Lepisosteus oculatus: one gene and its partner. The protein of the gene in region 2 purifies or fractionates together with the protein of the main gene of each other region. This does not show direct contact. Links are inferred from orthologs where the notes say so. Each region holds a gene or a part of one and is shown on either strand. Other genes may lie near its edges.

Region 1 (3,755 bases), on a different chromosome or scaffold from region 2:
AATTTACATTAATTAAAAAAACAAAGAATGCTCTAACTGGTACTGTCTAATAATTTACTAGAGGAATCAACCATTGACATGAAAGCCACAGTCCAGCTGCTTCTAGAGATGGGGCCTGCTCCAGAGACAGAGGAAATTACCCAATTTCTTGTTTCTATTTACTTATTTTAAACTGTGCTATACCCCTTGGTATAAATATCAGGATACCCCCCAAAAACCATCTAGGAAAAGACCTTAGCACATATTCAACATTTTCTACCCAGTCTTATTCCATTCTTCTGGTCAAATCCTATTCACAAGACTGTGATGGAGGTGGTATCGCTCGAGTGTTTCCTTGGGTTTTCCTTGGTAGGATTTAGGAGGTGTGGAGGGAATGGGGAGAGCTCCTCTCATCCTTTTCAGGCCAATCAGACCTTGGCACCCAATGATAGCATGAGGGTTCTAATATTTTGTCCAGTGAGGGTATATTCCTTTGTGCATTATTGAAAGCTTTTTAGTTAATGTCAAAGTTCTTCAGTTACTTTACAATTAGATCTATGGATTAATACTATTAGTAACAAACAAGATATATAAAAAGACTGTAAGCATATCTGTTAACAATCCAAAGCACATTGGAGACTGACCGCATTTTCGTTTTTCATTGTATGTTACCTACAGTATATGGTCACCGAGGCTTTGTAGATTACGAAAAGGATTCATTTTTTTGTAGTTCCTCACGATGTTTGTACCATGTCTTAGAAAGTAAAAAAATATATATACTAATTCAATTGTATATATGTAATGATTGTTGTAAGTCTTTAGGAAGTTCAGTGATGAAAAATAGAAATTGAAATCAGTAATTACATTGCGAGTAATGTGAACTCGGCATTGTTCGGCATTAGGACCCTGTGATAGGTGTGACCAGGATTTCCCTTTAGGGCTCCGGGAGGGTTATGTGACGCATGCGCCTACTTTACTATGGCAAGCTCCAGATAGCTGGATAAAATGTAACAAAACAGGCAACAACATTGTACCTGCTTAAAGGAGCCGCAATCGTACCGAAACCTCTCTTTCAACTCCACCAGTGAGTAAAATCAACACTTTCTTTTGGGGCTTTTGATAAGAAAAGACGAAAAGTTAATGCAAAAATTAAAAAAGAGAAAAACTGGAGATAAAACAAGCGTGGACTCTGGACGGTCGTGAAACTAAAGCAAGTCAGAGACGGATAAAGATCGACTTGTGGAGGATCAAGCAGTAAAGATGTTACCATAGAAAATGAGAAAACATGAGAAACAAACCAGGAGAGAAGAAAGAACTGAAGCTCCACTAAAGTGGACTTTTGTATCGCAATGGCTTGATTTTTTTTCTAAACATTAAGAGCTTTAATTATGATTCCTGCTTGCTAAAACAAAACAAAAAGAAAAGTTTGCAGCTTGTCCTTGGGATATTGAATTCTATGAAACAGCTGATTTTGGCTGTCCCTGTTTCTGTTGGTGGGGCCACCTGTTTTCTGTTGGTTTGTATTCACCATGTCCAAAGTGCTACAAAAGAAAAACCATTGGACAGCAAAAGTTAATGAGTGCGCGATTATCAAAGACGCTCACGGAGAACTGAATGTGGAGTTGCTCGGGGGAGCAGAGAATGGAGAGTTTCCGTACATCGGGGAAGTTAAGGAAGATGTCGCGGTTTTCAGAGAAGGAAAATTAACCGAGGGGGAATTGATCCTGGAAGTAGAGGGGCTCGCAGTGTCTGGATTGCCCCTCTACGATGTACAGACAGTGATAAAGAACTGCAAGGGTCCCGTCAGGTTGAGAACTGTAAAACAAGGTAGGTGATGCAAGCAGCCGACATCCGACATGATGATGTCCCTAAATCCCTCTGCGCTCATCCAGTAGCATTTTTTCCTGTTTTGGTAGGGAAGGACAAAGATAAGTAGTTTACCCAGTGAGTGAGGGTTTGTAAACAAATTGCTACAATATTTAACTTTGTTTTATTTTAGATACCAGTGCTGGCACGATAGATGACCTGTCTTATGGTTTAGACTTCCATATTTCTGTTACACAGTATACAGTATAACAAAAGTACAAAATTATCCCCATCCCATTAGTGTTAACTTATTTGTTTTTACTACAATGAAAACAACGATCTTAATAACAATGCTGTGAAATTGTAAAAAAATGCTGTACCTAACGACAAAACACCAGGTGCTTTGTTTCCTTGAAAGTGAGGCTTACAGTACAGGAACAGGGGTAACTGTAGATGGCCAGTTGCTCTGAAGTGTTTGTCACATATTTTGTCCTGGGGTTGTGGACACCTTAATATGGCTGATTAGCCCTGCACAGACACATATGGGCTATAACACATCATTTTCTAACCTGTTTGGAAAGAGCAATAGGCTTGACTGTGGAGAACAGGGTCTGTAATACAGTATATTTCTTTTACACCAATGCTCTGTTGCTCTGAACCTATGAAAAGCTTTTTAATGAACATAGTGAAATAGGAAGTTCAACAAATTGTCTTCTTTTGATGTATAACAACACATTATTGCTAGAAAACATTAACTGTCTGGATCCTAAAATGCAACTTCCAGTCCATTTAAGAACATTTAAATTGACAGGGTTCCTCTTGCCTTTGTTGGGTCACTTACAACCTTACTTACTTCAAGTTGTAGCAATGGCTTCATGTCAGGATGGTGTCTTAGAGTGTAGAAGCCATTCAGCTTTTGTCTGGTTTACATCAGGTGTAACTTCTTTTTTAGAATTTCTAATGTCTGTTTTGGACGCTTGCAGATAACAACACAGTGCTTTGATGAGAGTCATCAGGATCAGTGTGACAGATTTTCCATTTATCCGACCTGTAATAGCTGGCACACAGAGACTGAAGTAACCCTTACCAGTTCTACCAGCATTGCTCCTCCTTCTGTGTGTACCAGTGATACACAGTGTGTTGGGTGCATACAGTACATGCACAGAGGAACATTGATTGTAATGCATCTTTATTTATAGCTTCCATCACATGTTTCTAGTTTATTTCCTTCCAGGCATAAAATTGTGGTGGTTTTGTTCAGATACATGAGTCACTTGAAACAATTTCATGCAACGGACTGATCAGCTTCATTGGGACATATTTTTCATTTAAGTTGTTCTGTGTTTTCATTAATGCTAAGAAGGAACATGGGGATATTTCATTACAGATGAATAATTTAGGGAAGTCATGATGTAGTTCTAATTCAAAGTGGAGTACACTGAGATAATATGTGAGAGAAGTTTGTTACATTCAAGGGCTAAGCATTTCAAAACAAAAAAGATAGACGTCAGTCTGACATATGGTATGGTATGGTTTTTTATCCCATAGAAATCAGCATTCAATAAATAAAAAAAAAACATCTTGCTTTAAGCTATGAAGTAACAGAAATAACTGTTTTTGTAAAGCAAGTATAATAGAATGCTTTCCTTTTGGCTACGATGATTTATGTGCCAATACAGATTATGCTGTAATATTTATATACTTTATATGGTGTAAAAATGCAGTTACAATTTGTGGATGTTTTGAGAAATAACCATTCACTCAAAACCTTTAATATTGTTCTTAACTTTACTTATTAATACATCTGAGTTTGGATGAAGATAGACTGAGCTTATCATTTGGCAATCTTTAATTATCAGAAATTTCAAAAACTAGGAACTCAACAACTCAAGGTAACCCAGACCTGAGTGTCCAATATGAAGTGCTGTTGCAGCTAATTCATCGCATTTCCCAAGGCAATCTAACTGACA
Region 2 (3,755 bases):
GATCAATATGACTTATTATGTATATAGTACCACCAGTATTCTATTGGTAAATGATAAGAACAACAGCAAAATAAATACCTGTAAAAAGCATTCTTTGACTATATACCGGATGTCCCCTCTGAGCACCTGAGTATTTATTGCTGGTCATATTTTACTTCTGTCCTTCGTCTCCTTACTTTTTTTTTAATTTAAGGACGCTTTAAACCAACAACTTCCCTCTAAGGACAGGAAGCCAAGTTTACAGGTACTCCGGGGAGGTGAGTGGAGCGTTGCTATGGCCTCGGTTGCTACAATATCTGTTTTGTGTGGCAGACACTACTGCAGCAGGATTTTTAAACGACAAGTAATGCCTGAACGTCCTTTTAGGAGGTCAAACGAAGGGCTTTTGTGTGTCTTGTACAGCAACTAAAGTAATTTTAAAACTAACATGATTGCGTATTAGCTGACTCGACAGAGTCAAATACAGCAGCTACACTGAAACCAATCATACGACAATCCAGTTAATTTTCTAACAGAGCGGTTTAAACAGCAAGATAAGCATTAATATAATAGCGACTCCAGAGAATAATGTGTACATAACTGTATTTGTTTAGTACTTATCTTTAATCTTCGGGATAAATTGTATCTATTAACAAAAATAGAGTTCAAGAACATATAAATTATAATTAATAAATACAGTAAATGGCATGTGAATTCATCTGTATGTTTCAGAAACAAAAATCATACCTAGACTTTGATGTGTTTGATTTTGTAATATTATAACATATAAATATAAATTATAACTCAAAGGGTGTATTAAAAAAGTAAGATTTTATGTGGTCCTACAGTTATGAATAATACCGAAAGCTGTACCTGTGGACAGTTGTTATTCAGTATGTCACTGAACTTTTATTGTGAGGTACTCAGTAATTACCCCCATTTTACCTTATTGGGTATTGCGCCATTGTACAGTGATATGGGTTTCTGTAAAGCATTTACAACTAAGAATATTATCACTGCGAAAACAGTTCTGCCTTAATATCACTTGGTGTTTACAATGCTGATCCTCTGCTTATAATTTAACAAGGCAGCAATCTGTAATGGGCAAACAATAATTGTTTAATCGGATCACGGTTTCATTGTCTAACTCTCAGATGAAATCTTCTTTGATTATTTTCTTTGTTACTCTAATTTGGTTACGAGGTGGCAGTGAAGCTTTCTGAATTATCCCAGTATCATTTCTGCCATTCCGGTTTCTTTTAATAGGTGGCGACAAAGAGCTTTTTAAATTTGTAAATTCTTCCATGAATGATATTGTTGTCAATGGACTCGCCCATAAGCTTTCCTCCGTCAGTCACCATGGTGGCACAAAGCAGCAAGCCGTGGCGGTCTTCTCCTCAAATGTAATGAACAAAGGATACTAGTTTTTACTATTACTTTACAGATGGCCTAAATGGGTAACTGTAAAGTGGTAAAATTTTATTCATTCTTTTAAAAGGAAACCTGGAATTGTTTCAAAATCAGAATGCAGAAGATAAGAGACTAACCTTTCCCGGCGTCTGGATAAAGGAACGTCTGTTTCACTGTTATATTTTCTGAATTCACCTTAATTTAACTGGTCACAGAAAAACTTAGAGAAATATTGTAATCCACAAGAAGGATTTGTTCCGGCGGCAGATCAGAAGAAGGGAGTACTATTCTTAGCCTGATCCCAAGCCAGTCCTCCGGGATCAGGGACTGAATACGAAATAAACCCCGTGGCTCTGACTGTGGCCTGGGGATCGAGCTTCAGCTGTCACATTTTCAAAGTCTTTAAAAACAAACTTGAACAAAGTGGACAAGAGATTCACTATTTGATTTTTTAAAAAGAAGACACGCATTTGTGCCGTGCACTTTCGTATTTTTTACAGCAGGAATGGCGTCCTACGTGGATAACAGTTTCCGACAGGCGGTGATGAAAAACCCGGCCGAGCGGACGCAACAGGTCAGAAAACATGAGCTTTTTAATTAAAACCGTCGTGTTTACACCAGGTTGCACGGGATGAGTCTTTCAGAATTTCTAGCGGTGATAAGGTTGCTTAAATTAAAGTTTTGCATCCGATTTTCGTATGTAAATATGCTCCATAGTAGTAGCGTTTGTGTGATTGTCGTTTCGCAGTTTTGGCTATACAAAATCAAACTGGGATTTCAGATTATCCTTTGATGAAACATGGGGAAAACTGATGCTTCTTATGTTTGAACTTCGCAGTCTAAATTATCCATAACCTTCCCATGAATGTTTTTTCTTCACTGTATTTACAGAATGTCCCCTCTTTTTTTTTTTAAAAAAAGGATGTTTATGTTTGTGTAAGAAACAAGGGTTAAATACTGTAGCTTCACAATATGAATCGATCACAAACATTTTGCGGCAGACTGATTATTTAAGAGTTAATTATTTTAAACGTAACGTTTGCGATTGTGAAATGAAAATATCGCCGTATCATCAAGTTTAGGTGTATTTTTAAGTGAATCATGTAGTGGTCCTGATTTCCTGGTCAGCTGCGCCTTTCTCAAGGAGAGGCGCTGCATAGTCTTTCTTGGCCCTTGTAAAACGCCTACTAAGCCTGGCTCCTTTGCAAAAAATGGTAGCTACAGTAATTCATCGGTGAATCGGTGGGCACTCGTTATATGAAGACCGTGCATTTAGAAACAGTGTAAGTGAAGTTGTGGTAATGTGTGCAGCTGTTCTATCGTTCATCGAGAGCGATCAATCAAAGTCCCAGTCATGTAGTGTTTCAAAGAATTTCCACACGTGAGACCAGAATTCTTAAAATATGGTGTGCATAGTTCAGGGGGTTTCATAGGTTCCGTGATGTTCTCCTACTTCATTTCTTGTTGGATCAAATACCATGTTGTATAAAGGAAAACTTGCAATAGTATTATGAAAGTGTTGACGAACAACGAACAGTGCTAACCTCTCACTGAGATCAAAGGTACCACCTGATAAATAGGCCATATTTCGAATAGTTTATATTGCTTAGAAATAAGAAAACAGTTGGGGGTCCTTTCTTACAATAGGAATGTATATTAATGCAAAATAAACAAGCTCATCTCAGTTTTTGACATTTATTTCTCATCATAAAGCACACAATGTGTGTGAAGTAGTCTCAGTGGTACCTCTGGGAACCTCTTGAAAATCCTCTTTCTCCTGATGCAAAGTAAGCCTATTAACTGTGGTTAGGGGCAATTGCAGTGTCTGGTGAGATTACTTACCTTAAACTTTAAACTGGTCTTGAAAGATAGACAGCTGTAAGAGACCACTTTTGAATAAAATTAATCTTGAATGTAGTGTTGAAATGTAGTTAAATGCACAGCTAAATCTATTAAGATATTTTGTATCTACGGCTTTCATGTAGTGTAATTTTCATTCTAATGTAAGTTGTTAAAGTAGTTCCTGGTACCATTATTTAAGGTGTTTGATATTCAGGCTGCTGGAAAAGATACAGCACAACATTAATGCAACACAGCGATAGTGGTGTTAATGTTTGTTTTCTGATTTAGGATTCTGTATTGTTTTCACTGGTCTCTGTTTTCTGCAGTTCAGGTGGTCTGGAATCCTTTACACGAAGTCTGATAATAAAAATTAGGGTAATGTCATGATAACATCTTGGAAACTTCCTTTTTAATTGCCACTTTGTCAATGAGAAGTCTGGTGACAGTATTGAGCTAAATTACTTTAGGAAAGGGTTGTTGTTCAGTTTTCTTAAAGAAAATAACAGACAAACATAAACAACACA

Evidence for each region. Proteins that work in one complex are often made in the same cells at the same time.
Region 1: the proteins of rapgef2b (region 2) and magi1b purify together in Homo sapiens (co-immunoprecipitation; 3 studies listed by BioGRID and IntAct, with this or other methods). This does not show direct contact. The link is inferred for Lepisosteus oculatus from reciprocal best matches to the Homo sapiens genes RAPGEF2 and MAGI1.

What each region holds. Positions count from the first base shown.
Region 1 is NC_090699.1:49,447,864-49,451,618, reverse strand, and holds the start of magi1b (membrane-associated guanylate kinase, WW and PDZ domain-containing protein 1b), read left to right. Parts: upstream 1-964; 5' UTR 965-1,508; coding exon 1,509-1,806; intron 1,807-3,755. UniProt on the Homo sapiens protein: Plays a role in coupling actin fibers to cell junctions in endothelial cells, via its interaction with AMOTL2 and CDH5. May regulate acid-induced ASIC3 currents by modulating its expression at the cell surface.
Region 2 is NC_090696.1:23,459,564-23,463,318, reverse strand, and holds the start of rapgef2b (rap guanine nucleotide exchange factor 2), read left to right. Parts: upstream 1-1,312; 5' UTR 1,313-1,894; coding exon 1,895-1,963; intron 1,964-3,755. UniProt on the Homo sapiens protein: Functions as a guanine nucleotide exchange factor (GEF), which activates Rap and Ras family of small GTPases by exchanging bound GDP for free GTP in a cAMP-dependent manner.